2 linked regions of the Schizosaccharomyces pombe genome follow. The main gene of each other region encodes a partner of the protein of the gene in region 2 in a complex. Each region holds a gene or a part of one and is shown on either strand. Other genes may lie near its edges. The genes, in order: cox5 and cox6. A codon is read from its position in the direction of its gene.

Region 1 (8,414 bases), on a different chromosome or scaffold from region 2:
TTTCGTTCGATTCAAGAAGCATATCAGCAAACTTATCTTGACCAACGCAGCCGGCGAAAACAGTAGAGTTAGGAGGAAGTACGTATTGAGCAGCACGGCAGCTGTTTTGAGCTGCACCACCGGCACTGTAGCTAACGCATGGCTCCTTGTAGATACCCATCTGGCTCTCAGAAGCTAAGACGGCGTCGTTGCTCTTCAAGCCATACTTTTCAAGAGTTGCAGTTTCACCACCAACATAGTAATCCAACAGAGGGTTTTCCAAACCAAACAAGATGTATGAAGACATGATAAATGATTGTAGTAAGGGAAGGGAAAAAGTTAAAGAAAAACCACGAGAAAATACACCAACAGGTAAAGTATCTTAATGTTCAAAGAGCGATATTATGGCATAATTGTAATGCGTTATATTATTAATACTATACTGCGTTAAATATCGATACATGCCATATGGTCTGTTTATCTTTCGCTATATATTGTATGGTAAAGGCATACTATTTTTAATAAACTATTAAAATTTGAGCAGCTAAAAAAATTATCAATATAAGCATAACTGTACAAGCATCCTCAATTTCAGTTATTAGCTATATTGGTGAAAAATATAATACTATGTAACTGAAGATTGACAGTGTATGTTACTTATTGTACCTGTATACTGGAATTCTAGGTCACAACTAATACTCATCGCAATTTTAACCTTCATTAAACTGATTGCAAACTGCATAATTAAACGATATAAACTGTATCACACTCCTTTGCGCCTCGGTATATTATAATCACAATACTTATTTAAGAAGGCCGATCACGAGAAAAATTAGAACTAATAAAGATTAAAAGAGTCGATATTTGATGCTATATACAATTGGTCATGAATATTAACTCCATTCCTGTATTATTTTTTTAACAAAGGGGTTGCTTCAACTTTTAGCGGAAAACTTATCAAAGTGTGGAAGAAATAATAAACTAAGATAAATGATGATCGAGTTGCACTGCGTCAGGGTAGCCGGTTGTCAAAATTTTCAATATACGAATAAAGAAATAAAAACAAAAATAGAGTGAAAAAAAAATAGATATCGGCATCATGCTAAACGTGGAGACGATGATCCGCCGTTTTTTAGGATAAATTTAGGATATGACAGGAGATTACAACTAAAGAACTTTTGGTGCTTCTTCAAATATCCTGAATAAAAAAGGTCGTTAATCTTCACCTTGAACATTCGCTTTCTTTTCCATAATAGCGCTAACAATATCTATGGATAGTAGCTGTAGGTTTAAATCGTTGATCAATTGCTCTGGGGCTGTAGAATCACTTTCCCATACTAATAAGATTAGAATTTCTTGCAAACGCTCAAAGCTATGTCGGAGATTAGCTTGATCATTGGAAAAGATAGTAATTAAGCTAGAAATGTCGTTTTCTAATGCCATAGCACCATAATCATTCCACTGAATCTTATATAGTATGAGGTTTTCTATATAACTTGCAGCTTTCTCGCATGCCATAGAGCGTAAAGAAAGCTGATTTTCAGGAGTAAATTGCTCCAGCAACAAAACCCTGTCCCAAACGCTGCGAAGACGGGTAACTACCAGTCTTTCATGTTCTGTCTCCTTCGTATAGTCTTCATAGGACAAGACATAGTTGATTCCATCAAAGGAATCATCGATGCATTGCTCAATTCGGGGTAATAAAAATATCGGAAAGTACATGTTGAAAGAAGTCTTGCAAAGATTTTCAAAATTAACGGTTAGCTGCAAAAAATTATCAATCGATTTCTTTACCAATTTTTGGTCTTTGGCAAAGGCAAAAACTTCTTCCAACCGACTAGAAACACCATCCACAATTGATTTTAGATATTGCTTGCTGAGTGAAGCACTATTTACCAATGTTATGTAGTTTTCGACTTGTTTGGCGGGAATGCTATTTGCATTCTTTAGCCTCTGGAACTGAGCTTTTATAATGTTACAGACAGTTAAAAGATTATGGGAAAGGTAGACATAGTAATCATTTCTTAAAATAGGGATTAAGCTTTCGTTAACAAATCTGGTGAAGAATAAAGAGGAGACTGTAAAAAACGCACGTTGGAATACTTGCTTCGTAACGTACATGACATCGTCTACAATAGAGCTCATCCATGGGGAAACCTTTGTGTAATATTCCTCAAGTTCCAAAGACGTTTCTATACTTCTCCTGAAATAGTATGTTTCTAATTGTAATAAGGATGGAAGAAGTTGCTTTTTTAACAGAAGTTCCATCTTTGAAGAATTGAAAATAGATGCACAAATAAGATTGTCCTGGACAGATGGATCATTCGAAGTACCATCAGATTGGGACAATCGAAGGACAAGACGGCTAATAAATATTTTTGAGATATTCCATTTGGAGACAATGGCTGACATTTCATTCAAAATCGGATGTAGCGTTTGAAGAGAGACCCTTTCTAATTCCTTTTGATCCGAAACAAAGGCACGATTTTTCAACTTCGCATGTAACAAAATGTATTTGTAAGAAGCTATAGAGCTTACGAGGTTATCAATTCTTCTCACGTCAAACATGGTATTCACGATAATGGAACCTTGGCGATCACAATCACCTTGCAATTTTTCAATAACGGTGATGGTGTTTTTGGCCTTGTAATATTTTTGAACAAGAGGCGTATGTGCGCGTATGATAGAAGCAACATGCTCGACCAGTCCGGTAAATGCCTGTGCAAAAAAAAGAGCATGAGTAGGGGGCTCATCGAGAGTGGCCCTAGCTTTAGAAGCAATAATTCCACCAAAAAAATGCCAATAAGCTTCTAATCCTTCCTTTTCTTTGCCGATCAAAGGGAAGAGTTTGAAGTAACGAGTGATTTCTTTTTGATCCTGATTTCGGGCGGCCTTATGGAATTCCCGCCAAAAGAGAGTGTGTAGAGATTCGGTGATTTCTTTTAAGGTGTCCATGGGCGCTAAAGGTTGCTCAGCTGTGGGAACAACGGCATGTGCAAATTTCCCTTCGATGATAGCCGGCGATGTGGAGCTTGCTCGATGTACTAAATCAGCTGCTTTTTCCCATTGTTGGTGATGCATAGCTCTGTTGAGATCCTGCAAACATTCTTTGAAATCTCGGACTTGACGAACAAATAAAAGACACTCTTTTATACGATTCTGTTCTCTATCGACCGATTTGATTCTCTCAATGACCTCCTCGCTAACGATAGTGGTATTGCAAAAAGCATCTTTAAGCTCTTCAATCTGACCTACAAACAGCACTAGACGTTCTGCCATATTCTTGATTAAAGAATTGAACTTCTCAGTCGGCTGTGCATCGCTTAGCAGCCTTTCCAGCTTTTCGTCGGTTCGTTGGGATTCGACTTGTAAGTCATGAAACCGTTGTTTAATTTGCGAGATATCAGTGCAGTCATTGATGGATATGTCCATTGTACACTCATTAAATAAAGAAAGACTAAAACGCGTTCGCAAATTATCTCAAAAAATCTACGAGGTTGTGAATATTAACCGCGCAAAATAACAATTAAAAAACTCAAAGTAAGAGTGAAAGAAACCAAAGTAAGGGTTGTCGTCAGTTGATTTTCGAATTAATTAATTTTTAAATAAATTAGTAAACCTTGCAACGTCTCCCATTCAACTTGCCAAATGCCGCACAATTGACTCCTACTAAAAAAAGAGTTACTGAGTGCATTGCAAATGGTCAACTTTACGATATCATACTATTCCAGTAACTAATAATTAACGAGACGATAAATATCATTATTTGACAGAACGCAACATCGCAGACTCTAATAGCGAGAGTTCGCTGTTGTTCTTTAAATGTTTGATGTGAGGCAGGAAATATAGGAGAGTATATTTTGTTGTGCAATCATTCATTCTTATAGTACAACTGTAATAAAAAGTCATGGAAGAGCAATTTCCAAAAGCTGTATTTTAAAAATTTACGGTTTTCTGCTACGCCTCGTTGTTAAATACAAATCCATGTTTTTCGAAATTTCAGCATATTTGTCACCAATGTGATGGCCAAACAACAACTCACAAAGAAGGTAGTCTATGTTAAACATCTCAGTTCTACCTAAAACATACTCATGTATACCCCCTTCTAAGAATTGCTTCTCTTTTTCTTTATTTATTTATTTTCACCTTGAATCCTTTACTCGATTTCCCACTGCTGTACCAATATTCCTCTCCTCGTCCAAACAACTAGATCTTTATGGAAGTTACTACTGGGAAGCGAATATTACTAAGACATTACAAAAATGTGTGTACTATTTTACGGTCGAATTGGTCGACACAAAGAAATGGTAAAACGCGACCGACCTACTAATTAATTCTAAAAAAAATCATCAAATTAACAATTGGTATTTGTTTGATCATAACGATGTATATGAAATGTCATAAAGTACTTGAGTGTAGAAACGCATGCGTGCGACGAGTGACGAGCTCAACTATAAGCAATTGATATGGAGGCGAAACTTTCTGTAAGGAGAGAAATCTAATCCTTCTTCATAGTATGCATCTCTTGGTCAGGCTCAAAATGTTGAATTTCAGGATGAGCAGACAAAGCATCTACTGCATTCTCAGGAAGAGAAACGCTGAATCCCTTAAATACGGTATCATAAGTATGACCAATTTTAGCACCAGATGCCTCTAAATCAGATTTTATTTTATCCATCGATGCAGGATCAACAGAATCTTTCAATTGAACGATATACGACTTTTGACTCATGGCGAAATAACGAAGGCGAAAAAAACAAGGAAAGTAGCGTTTCAGATTTTTTAGCTGTACTTAAAATTCACTTAATTGTCAAAAAATGAACAAGCTTATGTAGTACAGATAAGAAGGAATTGAGCGCAAAGGGGAAAAGGCTGGTTTATATAGCATTCGCCATGTGCATTACGTAGGTCAGCTTATCTAAATAGAACGGTTGTGCACATTGCTTGCTTAGCCAATTTATTAGCTCTTTCTCTTTCAGTATACTTTTTAACGAAAGTCAAAAGAACTTTGGTAAAATAAATAACAAAATATATATTACATTTTCGTATTGTACATTGAGAAGGCTATTGCATTTGCATATAGGGACACAATATTCCTCATTATTCCTTTTTTTCACGCAGTGTAGACAACGCGGTCTGGAAAAGACATACATCCATTGGAATTGAGTTGTATTTTTGGGATAGGCGGTTGAGTGAGAATGAAATTGAGAAATTAGATGCTTTAATAACCAGTGCTTTTAAATTGCTTCTTGCTTTTTGATCAACACCGTGATTTCACTCCTGCGAGGTACATGTTACCTAGCTTTGATCTAATTTGAAAAGTTGGACTCATGGATGGTAAAGAGAGAAATTTCGTTTTATCCATACTTAATCATAGTATGTCTCTCACGCATACTCTCACATAGGTAGTTAATTGGGATTCTCATTTGTTTAAAATTTAGCTGGTTTGCAAAGGAAAACAGGTTGACTCCTGTCTTTTTTGGGTCTTTGGGATTTCTTTTGTTTTTGCTTTTTCGTCTCTGGTTTTGGGTATTTTAAAAAAATCACAATGATTTTAGAAGACACGGATCTACCTTTAAGTCACGAACAGCCTTCTTACTCTCAAATTAAAGATGTTTTGGACAAAATTCCTACTGGGGAGCACTTGTGGGACCTTCCTAAGTATGAGGAGAAAATAATCCTCAATTGGCTTATCAAGCTCTTAGCTACAAATTTGGAATGGATCACAGTTGAAGAGGAACGAGACTATTTGGTTAGCACGATTTGTGAACGAATTGCAGAGCGTAGTGGTAGACTTGCAGCTCCTACTAGGAAGAGGGAATTTTCCCTTTCAAATGGTGTTTCTGTAGTTCTTCGAGAGCCCACTATGACCTATAATACTTTAGGATTTAAAACATGGGGGTCTGCTCCCTTGCTTTCAGCAAATCTTCCCAAATGGGAAGATTTGAGTAATTCCATTAACGCGCTAGAATTAGGGGCTGGGACTGGGCTTGTTGGCATTAGTGCAGCCATTCAATTAGGATGGCAAGTTGTATGTACAGATCTACCAGATATAGTAGAAAATATGCAGTATAACGTTGATTACAATTCTGAACTTATCCAGCAATATGCGGGTTCAGTAAGCTGTCATGTATTAGATTGGATGAATCCCCCAGATGATGATAACCGACCATCATGGCTTATTAAACCATTTCAACGGATTATAGCAAGTGATTGTATCTATGAAACTCATTTCGGCGAGTTAGCCATTGCACTGTTTCGTAAATATTTAGCTAAGGACGGGATTGTTATCACAGAGTATCCACTTCGCGAAACACATTTGGAAGAAATAGGTGTGTTTGAAAAGGGAATGGACGCCGCCGGATTTGAAAGACAAATGGGAGAAGAAATTGGTGAAGAAGACTTTGGCTCTCTATACCCAGTAACTTGTCGTTGGAGTAGATGGAAATACCATGGATAACTTAAAATGTATCAATCTATAGGTCAAACCATGTTGCAAACTAGAAAAAGCGAGCCAAAATAATTGGGTTTTATTTTTTCCTTGTTTGAATAATTTTAGATTTTAATAGCAAAGCAATAGATTCTTTTGTATTATTTACAGTATCAAAGGGAATCACTTTTGGTTTTAAAGCTGGCTTTTTGAGCCCGCTTTTTTCTGTTTAGAGGAACGAAATTGCGTAGGTTGGTTTAGATCAACAGGACATCGATACTGAATTACGGTTTAGTAGAAAATCTATTTGAGAAAGTTACCGATTGTTTTCTTGTAAATACTTTTTTATCCTTCCGCGTTCATTCAAAGCAACACATTAGTATCGTTTCGTCTCTATGAGCTTTCATAGTTATTTTCTACAAATTCAAACGGAGGACTAGAAATTAGAAAGTAGAATTAACCATAAACATTTCACTTACCCTTCGTACTTTCGATCTTTAATCAGCATGCGAAGCTAAACCCTACCCTAATTTCTCCGACAGTGTGCCAATGGGACTCCCGAGGATTGGCGTTGGCCTTCTTCCTTACACACCCAAATTCCCCCTCTCTCTATAATTCGATCTTTTTAGCATTAAATTATTGAATTAAGCTAATAATTATGTATCTTTCAAAAATTATCTGCAAAAAAGTGCCAATGAAGCTTCTCTGCACTCGCAATGCTGCTACTGTGAGTGCTGCTGCTACCAACGCTTTGCAGAAAGAGCAGCCTTCCGGAGAGGCCATGATCGCTCGTCCTCGTTTGGTTGATTTGGACAAGCGTTGGGGTATTATGTCTCAGGAGGAGAAAGACGGTCTTATCACAGATTTGTATGCTCGTCAGAAACAACCCTGGACGACACTCTCCATTGAGGAAAAGAAAGCCGCATATTGGATTGCTTTTGGTGAACACGGTCCTCGTGCTTTCAGCCACATTAGTCAAAAGACAGTTTTTTGGGGAACTGTCGCTGGTTTAACGATCGGTGTCGTATTGTTTGGTCTCATCCGCACTCAAGCTGCTCCTTCTCCTCGTACCATGACTCGTGAATGGCAAGAGAAGTCCAATGAGTACATGAAGGAGAACAAGATCAACCCTATTAGTGGTGAAGCTAGCGAAGGGTTTAAGGGACGTGGTCAAATTTCCGGTGGTATTTTCTCCCCCTCCGAAAAGGACAAGAAATAAGAAATTCCCACATTTTGAGTTCAATAAAGTTTCAGCATGATCTGGGTTTCTTTTTGCTTAGTCAAATGAAAATTTATTTAGTTGTTTTATTTCTTGAGCCTAACTCGACTTTCATGGTAAGATGCTACTTCGTCGGACCCACCATTATCAGGTACTGGAAGGTTTGACTTTGCTACATTCGCTTCTTTTATTTCTAAAAACGAGTTTTAATTTATCCCCCTTTCTAATGAAAATTTCAGCTTATCGTGAATAAGTCCGGAATATAGTAAATCGTAAATTCATTGCTTTGCTGAATGTAGTTGATTAACAATTGGGGTAGTGAACGCTAATCGAAGTTCGAATGCTTATTGTAACGTTGTAAGCTTCATGCTAATGATCTCTGAATACATCTATGTACACGGTTGGCGTATCAATTTATTTAGACAAGTTGTCATTGGATGAAGTTTCACAATCATTATTTAGTTTTAATCTACAAAATCACTTTCCCAAAAACCATTTGGAATAGGTTTGGGGATGTTTAATTTTCGATGCCGGCCTACTTTTTGCACCAAAGGTTGATGCTTACAATTGGGTAAAGAGCCACCACCCAAGCGGTTTTCGTCATTCCAAGTAGGCGCAACGCTGCTTTCTTTGACTGGACCATGTAACTCATAGAACTAAAACACCAATTAGTAGGGAAAAAAGCCAAAAATACTCTTACCTTTTGGCAATCCGGACATTCGTAAGCAGGAAGTGCTTTACGTTTATTACCTCGAATAACATCATCGTTTAAAAATTCAGGCTCAA
Region 2 (10,310 bases):
GACCTTCATTGTTTTTGCTTATACGGCAGTGGGATCGCGAGAGGTAATAGATTCTTATGACTTACGTCGTGGGTGGTGGGCGTTATTCTCGTCTGCTTCTTCATTTAATGATTTGGGGTTTTCTTTAATACCATCGTCTTTTGTGCCAATGAATCGAAACATTTTTCTTTTGTTGATTTCATCTTTATTCATTATCGCAGGTAACACGGGATTCCCTTGTTTTTTTAGAACATTCATTTGGACAACGTATAAGCTATACCCTTTTAGTTTTGAGAAGAAAGAAGCTATGGCATTTCTCCTTGATCATCCTCGACGATGTTTCACTTTATTGTTTCCATCTGGAGCAACCTGGGTCTTGTTTTTTGTTTTGCTGCTGCTTAATGTCATTGATCTGGTATTGTTCATGGTCTTAGATACTGGAAGTAAAGCAGTCGCTAGCCTTCCTAAAGGTATTAGGGTTGTAAATGCAATATTTCAATCAGTTTGTACAAGAACCGCAGGATTCACGAGTGTATCAATTAGTGAACTTCACCCAGCAGTACTGGTCAGTTACATGGTTATGATGTATATTTCTGTTTATCCAGTTGCTATCAACATGAGAAATACCAATGTTTATGAGGAGCGATCTTTGGGTGTTTACAGAACTGAAGATGATGAGGGGAAATCTTTCTTAAAAGATCACCTTACTGAACAATTAAGTTACGATTTATGGTATATTTTTCTAGGGCTATTCATCATATGCATTTGTGAAGGAGGTAAAATCTCCAATCCTCTAGATACCGATTTCAGTATTTTTACTGTCCTTTTTGAAGTAGTCTCTGCTTACGGTACGGTGGGACTTAGTACTGGATTAAGCTCCTCAAATTGTTCACTTTCAGCAAGATTTACTACTATAAGTAAACTAGTTATTATAGCACTTGAACTGCGCGGTAGACATAGAGGTTTACCCAGGGCTGTTGATCGAGCCATCCTTCTTCCTTCTGAAAAAAATAATCTGAAAGAAGAAGAAGATTATCAACGTCGTCACGGATTTTCCATAGACAACGCACGTGGCAGTATTGCAGTTTCTCGAGACTGATATTTCTTATCACGATCATGTATTATATTTGTAAATTATATCATCTAATAAATAGTACGCTCGCTAAATTTCATACTCCTGATCGATACACCGTTTGTCCGCCATTTCTGAGTTGAATTGTTTCCTTCGACGAAAGAATTTGTAAAGCCATTTCTAACGCGTGTTGTGAATATCCATGCTAAAATTATGTTAGACTTAGATTTAATCAATAAACATACCCCATTTACGTATTCTCGTATAAGCATACGGTAACTCGCCTGAAACCCTATAGGTAACCTTTTTCTTAAGCTGGCTTCAATTTTTTTTACTTCCTCAGTAACTTCAGGCGAACTTTGTGTAGCAGCAGCAAGTGTACTGGTCAAAAACAGTCGAATCGCTTCAGTAGCGTGAGCTTCAGAAGCAATAGGTGATAATGACATTTTTGCAAGGGATTCAGTAATTCGTATGATTGCCTCTAATTGACGAACAGTGATTGGAATGGTAGAACGCGAGTTACTGTCCTGCTCTGACTGATGAACACGTTTTCGAATTGCGACAAATTGACTAGATAGCTTTTCAGCTGCCTCTGCATCAAGATTAGGTGCACATTTGCTAAATCCATTAGTAACTAATATTAAATTTGGTATACTTACTGTCTACAATAGTTTATGTACCGCCGAAACTTATCAAAAGGAATTTCTCCAATTGCTAAAGTCTCACTAGATTCTTGTAAATTGGTATGAAGATTAATAACGTGACGGGCAATATTTCGATCCTTTGTTTCATCATGTTCATCCTTAACAATAAATATCATGTCGAATCTTGAAAGAATCGTAGATTGAAAATCAATGTTTTCACCTGGTGTCTTCATATCATCGTATCGGCCAAAAATTGGATTAGCAGCAGCTAAAACGGATGTCCTAGAATTCAATATAGTAGTGATACCGGCTTTAGCTATTGAAATAGTTTGTTGCTCCATTGCTTCGTGAATAGCAACACGATCTTCATCCCTCATTTTATCAAATTCATCAATACAGACAATGCCACCATCAGCAAGAACCATTGCGCCACCTTCAAGGTAAAATTCTCTGGTAACTGAGTCTCTTTGAATAGAAGCAGTCAAACCAGCAGCACTTGAACCTTTACCGGAAGTATAAACAGCGATGGGGGCCAGTCGCTCAACGAATTTCAAAAATTGAGATTTCGCAGTACCAGGATCACCAAGAAGTAAAACATTAATGTCACCACGAAGGCGCATACCATCGGGGAGAATTTTTTTAGAACCTGAAAAAAGTAGGCATGCAATAGCTTTCTTGATGTCTACATTACCATAAATAGCGGGAGATATGCTGTTGGATATAATATCGTACAAATTCGGAGTACGAGAAATTTCAAGGAACTCCTCTTCTTCCTCTTCACTAAATAAAGGAGTAGATTTAGAGCCATCATTTGAATCCATTTGAATACCCACGACTCTGATATAAGGGTTCCGAATGGCCACGGCACCACTAGCTTTAACAGACTTATTTTGAAAAATAGAAAAAATGCCAGTAATAACGCAGCGGGTTCCCGGAGTAATTTGGTTAGTTAAATAGCGATCAGCATTCAATAATATATGACGAGGCAACTCACCGACAGGAACCATATCAGGAGCTTCCTGTAGTTTAAGCACCTGCTGATCGATAAAAGTCGATTTTGAATGATCAATAATGAAAGGATCCATCGGGCAGTCTTTTTTTTCACCATCGAGAACAGGAGCTTCACAAACTCTAGGAAGCTGAACACCTGAAAATCCACCAGAAATCTGTAAAATCCTGGTAGCCCTACAATTTCTGCATACTAAGTGCAAAGCAGTTGCACGGCAGGAAAGTGTTGAAGCACCGATGATGATACCAGGCACTCTAACCAGTTTTGAGATATGAGAAGCTGTCAGGTTACGGATTGGAAGGATGTTAGCATCGTAACGTAGAGTTACCTGGCAAGTGGGGATATTCGTAGAAGCATTTTCTTGACTTCTATAAAGTAGGCGTTTAGCAACTGTAGTGACAGCAGACTCAAACAGAGGTAGAATATCTGTCGGCTGACTCAGAAGCAAATGAGCTAGATCTTCGTTATAACTGATCAGGTGCCTAAGATCTATGTTCAACATGTATTGTTTTACCACGAGATTGTCTCTTAGTTGAGTACGATAGATAAAGTCATTGTCAATCACAAATTCTTCAATAAACTGTATGAAATTCTTCTCATGACTAACATTGGAATCTAATTCTTGCTCTCCTGGGAGAACTGGGGTATAATATACAGCACTCCGTTCCCAACCTGTTGCTGCAGCCATTATTGTGATGAAAAAGACTAAGGGGAATGAGTTAAAAAAAAATAAAAAAGCGAGATAAAAAAGATGATATGGTATAAAATAAAGGATGAAGCAAATTTCGCTGCTCTTCGAAAAAATAAAACAAAAATTAGAAAAGCTCTTCAAAACCTTTACAGAATGAGTTGCAAAAATGATATAAATATGTTCTTAAATTACATGTAACTGCAATAAATATTTTACGCGTGAAGAAACGAATGTAATGCTGTAAAATATATTATTGAACAACCTCTGTGGTGTTTGGTGAAAGGACTAATACATATTGCCCTTGCTGAAACGAACTTCAACTACACCCTTAAATCTTTTGTTAAAAGGAGATAGTCTGCTTACAATTTTTTTTTTAACATTTTAAGTAAACATGTATTAACTGCAAGCTATTTTCTACGTGAACAAAATGAAGATGTATATCGTTACAGATTCACTGCTATACTAGACTTAAAAAAGAAAAAGAGATAAGATTACTATAGCAATTCTGTTTGTATGAGAAATGGTATTGGCATTTTTATTTGATAATTTCTTAATCCTAAAGAAACATCATTGCGTGCGGACAGAAAAAAAGTGATGATAATCAAAATCAGTAAATCAGTTTTTTTAAAGTCCTTTGAAAAACGCAAATCATAGTTAAGCACCAAGAAAAGGAGAGTTGTGGTAAAGAGCTACAAATTTCAAAAGAAGAGGAGACAGATCAAGAAACTTAATCGGACTTACTTAAAAAGATCCTCCTTCAATACAATACCTAATTCATTGCAAACAGGCTTAAGCTCCTTAACATACGCTTGGTACTGTTCTTTGGTTGGTAGTTTCACTTTAATACCTTCGAAAATCCTTACGGCGGTAGGGAAATCGTTAACACGACGAGCAGCACGTAAAGCTTGTTCAATAACATCAGAAGAAGGCACGATATCGTAGGCAAAACAATTATTTAGGCCTCTTTGGAGCTCAAATTGATCCTGAACATTTGAAAAGAAATCGTTATACCTACGTAGTTAGTAAACAGTAAAACAAGAAATTTTAAATAAAGGAAAAGCAGAGCAGAGCAGAAGTAAGAATAAGCTTCCAAAGAAGGAAAAATGGTCAATTTTTCTTGTGTAAAAACTAAAAACGTGAAAACTGAGAAAAGAACAAAAAATAGCAGACAAATAAATAGCTATGAACGCTCATTTACTATCATTCTAGAGATGCTAAAATGAAAATATTCAAACCACTTTCAGTATTGGGTACTCAAAAGTCAATGATAAAACAGACTGCTTTCGTGTTCATTTTATTCTTTGCAGTTCCCAGCATTCCTATTTCCGCATTTGATAATAAAAGTGCTGAATGGAGTTACTTTTCAGGCATTGCAACATGCCGAACAATTACCTATTCCCTTATCGTCGTTTTTTTACATACTTTGTGTTTATTTCTTCCAAGGAAACCCCGTGGTTACTAGAAAAACGAACTTGTCTGTTTGCAGCTAAAAACCCAGCTTGAAAACGAACCGAGGGTCCTGCGGCGACAGAAAAGCGGCCAGTTTGAAAAATACGTTGAACTGCTTTCATTATAATGAATTAGAATTGCTTCTTGCTAAATAAAAGTGAAGGGGAGTGGAGAGTAGATGGAAGTAGTAGTACGCTAAGGTTTGTAATATATCAAGAAGCAAACAGTTTTCTAGTATAGACTATGTATTCAAGAAAAAAGCTATTCAGTTATATTAGAAGTAGGATGAAGAAAACCTAATGACTGTAATTTTATATAAATATGTTTTGCACTTGGTTGTGAGTAATCTGTACAGATCGATTATTGAGAGCCGTGTTTAAATGAAGATTTACGGCTCACAGACTAAGGGCATTCCATGTTATTGTAGCTTCTAAAGGTCTACTGCTATGAAATGATTTTCTTAGTTTTAAAGTATTTACTTGTTATGTAGAGTATTAGTTCGACATGGAATTTTCAAGCAAGCTCAATTAAACTGGAGTGTTTATACAAGACAGCTGTTTCATTAATTAGAGAAATATGACTTTTACTATGCTGTAGAATGAAAATTCTCATCTGTTTTATATTTAGCGGAAGACATTTTGCTGATAGATATTCATTTAAATAGTTATGTCAGAGATACAAATTCAAGTGAATTGAAACTCATGTTGGAGTTTTAGATGTACTTTCTATAGGCAGGTCTATTCGAAGGATTAAGCATTCTAGCTCCACTAATACTCTAGGAGTACCAAATGGAAGGAAAACATAATCCGAAAAAAAGTTCAATGAGAGATGTCGAAGGGCTACTCAATCAATTTTTGAAGCCATCGGTGATTGGTGAAGTGAATACTTTTCTTTTCACTTGTAATTGACTGCTACAAAAAAATTGTTGGACAATCTAACCTTTTTTATTAAGAGTGTGGATAACGTACGAAATTTTTAATATTCATATGCATTTTTTTTATTAACTTATCTCTTTTTCATATTACTTCTTTTTTCTAAAATTGCTTGGCTTTTGAATGTTTATGTCACCATCAATCTCACTCACTAGTAAGATTTTCTAATATCTACCAAAATTTATGGGAATCTTGAAAAACTGACTTTTAAAATTTCCATTCTTCAATAAACACTTTTACTAAAGCATCAGTTCAGCTACCCTTGTAAATGCCCAACCCATCTCTTTTCCGTCTTTTGTTTACTTTTGGGAATGCGTTACTTATCTGAGTAGCATGTGCTTTTTGTGGTAAAATTGGTTCAATTTAATTGGTAAAAAAAATAAAAAAATAACAATGTCACTTGGTTGGGCCAGTATAGGTAACGTAAATTTGTTGAACCGGAAAACGGAATGGAAAACAAAGTATGAAGAACTGAGGCAGTTGCAGGTATTTGTTTTGCAAATGTTAATAAATGAATTTTTTAAAGACATACTTTCACGGAAGGTGGAAAATTGAGAATCCACCTTTCGCCATTGATCTTATGATGAGGACCAATCGTGAAAACTAGTAGTCTATAATCGATCAAAATAATTGCGCACACACGTATCGTACAGCAGATGCTTTGCACGATCGCACATAGTCGTGCGAAAAAATAAGAAGAATAAGAAGAGCTTTTTGTAAAAGTTAGGAGTTCAGAGGGCTCCAAGATTTCACATTTTGGATGTGCTTTGGGCATCCATGGGTCAATACGTTTGTTTGACGATTGAGTAGAATGTAACTTGTTTGTTTACTTGCAGTGATTAGTTTTTTTTTGTGACCTGCCTTTCTTCAGTTCCATCGGAACGGACTAGTAAAAAAAAAAAAAAAAGAGGATGGCAAGATGCCGGGAAGGGCTGGTTATGTCAAATTATACACATATGGGATTTAAAATTTAGAAATTATAATTTTTAGAATATTTTAAAAAATATTTTAAAATTCAAACTCAAATATTTATTGTGTACATGTGTTGATTTCCTTGTCTTCTCAGCGGAGAATGGATCTAACCGGAGCACACATGTTGAAAATTCACCGACCCAGCATTGACCATCCATTTGGAGTGGACCTATGGTAAGCAAAGCGTAATTATGCATTAAAACTAACTTTGGAATAGGCATTTGTTTGAGCAACTGAGCATCAAAACTATAGGATGGAATCCCTCTGAATTTGAGTACATCCCGGGTAAAACTCCCATGTCTCAGTGGTCGAGCGTAATTGTATCCATTACCGCTTACTATGTTATCATTTTGAGTGGTCGAGCGATCATGACAAATCGCAAACCTTTGAAACAACGTCGTCTTTTTCAACTTCACAACTTCATTTTGACTATCATCAGTGGAGCTTTGCTTGCTTTGTTGGTAGAAGAGGTTTTTCGCAACTACATGCGTAACGGTCTCTTCTACTGCGTTTGCGATTCTCGTCATTTTACGCAGAGATTGGTTACCTTGTACTACCTCAATTACTTGACCAAGTACTTGGAGTTGATGGATACGGTGTTCTTGTTTTTGAAGAAGAAACCCCTTGCCTTTCTCCATTGCTACCACCATGGTATTACGGCTCTCTTGTGCTTTACTCAACTTCTCGGTCGCACCTCCGTCCAGTGGGGTGTTATTGGCTTGAACTTGTACGTTCATGTTATCATGTACAGTTACTACTTCCTTGCTGCTTGCGGCCGTAGAGTTTGGTGGAAGCAATGGGTTACCCGTGTTCAAATCATTCAGTTCGTCCTTGATCTCATCCTCTGCTACTTTGGTACCTACTCCCACATTGCTTTCCGTTACTTCCCTTGGCTTCCCCATGTCGGTGATTGTTCTGGTTCTCTCTTTGCCGCCTTCTTTGGTTGCGGTGTTCTTTCGTCCTATTTATTCCTCTTCATTGGTTTTTACATTAATACCTACATCAAGCGCGGTGCCAAAAAAAATCAAAGGAAAGCCGCCGGTAAGGCAGATAACACCTCTGTTGCTGCCGCTGCTGGCTCTGAAGCTTTAGCCGCTACCACTGCTACTAATGCTTCTCCCTTTTCTGCTCGCTCAAGGAAACTCTAATGGAGAGGAATGTGTACGGCGTGCAGACCCTTGTTTAGCTTTCTTTTGTATTTTCAAACTTTCTTAAGCGTAGTCCAATTTCATGGTACCGTCGTCATCTTTTTCACAAGGAAAAAAACTCAAAAGACGATACTTTGGGATTGAAATTGGAAAATATCATTTTTTCCAGCCATCTAAAAGTTCCTTGCTTTTGGTTTTTTTTATTTTACTCTTATGCACGGCTCTTCTAGGGTCGTCATTTCTTCTTTCTTTTTTACTTTCAGTTTTTTTTCTTTAAAAATTTAGATGGCGGATTTATTTCTTTGCTTGAAACGGTGGGAATGCATGGGTTTCAGCGTATGTCTGCTTCTGTTTAATATTTCTCTAATTCCTGAGACATAAATTGCAATTGGTTTATGGGGTGCTTTTTATCTTAATTTAGTTATTGCAAGCATCGATTTGTTACCCGTATGTCTATGGTCTTAATAGTATTTAAGACATCCTTTTAAAGAAAAATAGAAAGCGGGTTAAAATAGTCGTTTGCTTCTTTATGTGCCTTCGTTCTTCATTTCCCTTTTCTTTTGTGTATATTGGGTGACATTTCGACATCTTCAAGTTTCTGCGTTCTCTCTTTCTATTTACCATTCGATAATTAGGGATGCGTCGCGTTTCGAGTTCTTTTCCTTTCTGCCAAATATTTCCATTCTTTTTAACATCTTTTGTCTAGTTCGTGTGGTTTGCGTCTAGTTCAAAGTAATAATTTCTTGTTTCTAAAACAACCCCAATCTACTTGAACAAAAGTTAGTAAAGTTTGGACGGATATTTCAAGCTCGATGGAACGCTCCTTTTTCTACGTGTTCCTTTTTTCCTAACTTTCTACAAAGTTTTCTCATATTCTTTTACTTGTGAGTTTGATAGGCATTTACCTTAATGTACATATTATTATCGTCTATCATGTATTAATTGCTCGCGTAAACTTTGGTTTGTTGTTTCAGTGGATCAGAATGAGTTGAATGGCATTTGAAGGATGATCATTATATAAATATAGATATATATACTTATGTATGTGCTTTCAACAACTATTTGTGCATGTATTGAACCGACTTTGTATGGTCGTTTTTGAAGTGTTTTAGTTTTAAATTCTTGCTTTTAGTCATTGTGGAGATATAAGATTTGCATTTTTGTGTTTGACAATTTGAATTGAAATGTAAGTATAAAACATTTATTATTGGATTGTACGTCCAGTTATTGATTTTCATTTTCAAAGCAGGCGCACAGCAAACTTAACTGTTTGTTCTTGAGTTGTTACCAATTTTCATTAAGATAATTTAGTAGATTTTTTAATAATGTCTAGTGATTGTCGTAATAATATTTTGCAGAATTTGGTGTATAGTAACTTTTGGGTCCATTGCTTTCTGTGCGTATCATACCTTCAAGTTGGTGATACCTTACTATAAGCCATCACACTTTGGTACCAAAAAGTTTGTTAATTTACCAGAATTCAAAGGATTGATGAAGGTTAACGACTTCTTTTATTAATTTTTTATCCAAAGCTAAGCAATTTTTGAAATTATTTGCAGTTAAATCTATATATTGAATCATTCGTAAACGAGTTTGGAGAACTCATTTTGGAAAAGAGCAAGCATACAGCATGAATCCATACAGACCATATGTCGTGGTTAACAATGTTGAGCCTACTTTTTCGATAACTCCAGAACCAACGTTTGAGACGCAACCGACCATAAGCAAGAGTGAGATTTTTGAGACACTCAGAAGTATTCTAGTGACCAAATATTTAACGACGTTTTTTGTACAGCCATTGGAAGTAGCAAAAACTGTCTGTCAAGTAGAAGAATATTTACCAAAACGAACTAAAATTGAGCGTGATGGGAAACAAACAAAGGAGCCTTATGATGAGGATATTCCCGATGGCACAGAACAGGAAGGTCTCAGTGATGATGAACACGAAATCTATGCTTACTTTGAAACACCTACCACAGAAAAGGCAGTAACAGAACAGCTAGCTGAGAAACTTTGCGTCGATGCGTCTGGCTATGTAACTGATCCTTCGAATCTCATCGAGAGAAGCTATACAATTCATTCGAAAAGATTTTCGATTAAAAGTATCATTAGTGAGCTATGGGAGAAAGAAGGAGCTAGGGGTTTATGGAAAGGTCATACAATCAGCTTTTTGCATAACTTACTTTATTCCGGCCTACAGTCCTGGCTTTCGGCAACATTATCTGGAGCTCTCGCAATAGCAGATCCAAACATTATTTCACCTATAGATTCTGTTCGGCCTCTTCTTTCCCTTTTCATCAAATCCATTACTTCTGCGATCTCTGCTCTTATTCTATCTCCCCTTGATATTGCCAGAACAAAAATAATTCTTTTCCCCATTTCCTCATCTTCCTATTTGTCTTCAGCTTCTGAAA

The links.
Region 1: the proteins of cox6 (region 2) and cox5 are in contact, whole or in part, in a cryo-EM structure (PDB 8C8Q), measured with the Schizosaccharomyces pombe proteins. Residues at the interface, in NP_593931.1 of Schizosaccharomyces pombe: Ala90 (codon at 4,288), Arg91 (codon at 4,285), Asn94 (codon at 4,276), Asp95 (codon at 4,273), Phe96 (codon at 4,270), Pro97 (codon at 4,267), Thr98 (codon at 4,264), Ala99 (codon at 4,261), Val100 (codon at 4,258), Arg101 (codon at 4,255), Glu104 (codon at 4,246), Glu129 (codon at 4,171), Leu130 (codon at 4,168), Gly131 (codon at 4,165), Ile132 (codon at 4,162), Val133 (codon at 4,159), Lys135 (codon at 4,153), Leu138 (codon at 4,144), Phe139 (codon at 4,141); in NP_588158.2 of Schizosaccharomyces pombe: Gln74 (codon at 7,287), Lys75 (codon at 7,290), Gln76 (codon at 7,293), Pro77 (codon at 7,296), Trp78 (codon at 7,299), Thr79 (codon at 7,302), Ile83 (codon at 7,314), Lys86 (codon at 7,323), Lys87 (codon at 7,326), Ala89 (codon at 7,332), Tyr90 (codon at 7,335), Ala93 (codon at 7,344), Phe94 (codon at 7,347), Arg100 (codon at 7,365).

What each region holds. Positions count from the first base shown.
Region 1 is NC_003421.2:1,350,799-1,359,212, forward strand, and holds cox5 (cytochrome c oxidase subunit V), read left to right. Parts: upstream 1-6,995; 5' UTR 6,996-7,067; coding exon 7,068-7,628; 3' UTR 7,629-7,914; downstream 7,915-8,414. Other genes in the region: ado1 (adenosine kinase), read right to left, coding at 1-286; COG complex subunit Cog4, read right to left, coding at 1,195-3,411; proteinase B inhibitor Pbi2, read right to left, coding at 4,478-4,711; efm2 (methyltransferase Rrg1), read left to right, coding at 5,528-6,439; ctp1 (CtIP family endonuclease), read right to left, coding at 8,093-8,284, 8,329-8,414. UniProt on the Schizosaccharomyces pombe protein: Component of the cytochrome c oxidase, the last enzyme in the mitochondrial electron transport chain which drives oxidative phosphorylation.
Region 2 is NC_003424.3:2,809,024-2,819,333, reverse strand, and holds cox6 (cytochrome c oxidase subunit VI), read right to left. Parts: upstream 5,042-10,310; 5' UTR 4,967-5,041; coding exon 4,818-4,966; exon of another isoform or gene 4,735-4,817; intron 4,582-4,734; exon of another isoform or gene 4,407-4,581; coding exon 4,133-4,406; 3' UTR 3,839-4,132; downstream 1-3,838. Other genes in the region: plasma membrane potassium ion transmembrane transporter Trk1, read left to right, coding at 1-1,078; MCM complex subunit Mcm5, read right to left, coding at 1,149-1,256, 1,297-1,669, 1,711-3,392; SPOM_SPAC1B2.06 (uncharacterized protein), read right to left, coding at 6,297-6,551; elo2 (putative GNS1/SUR4 family protein), read left to right, coding at 6,870-6,922, 6,966-7,896; transport protein Ugo1, read left to right, coding at 9,527-10,310. UniProt on the Schizosaccharomyces pombe protein: Component of the cytochrome c oxidase, the last enzyme in the mitochondrial electron transport chain which drives oxidative phosphorylation.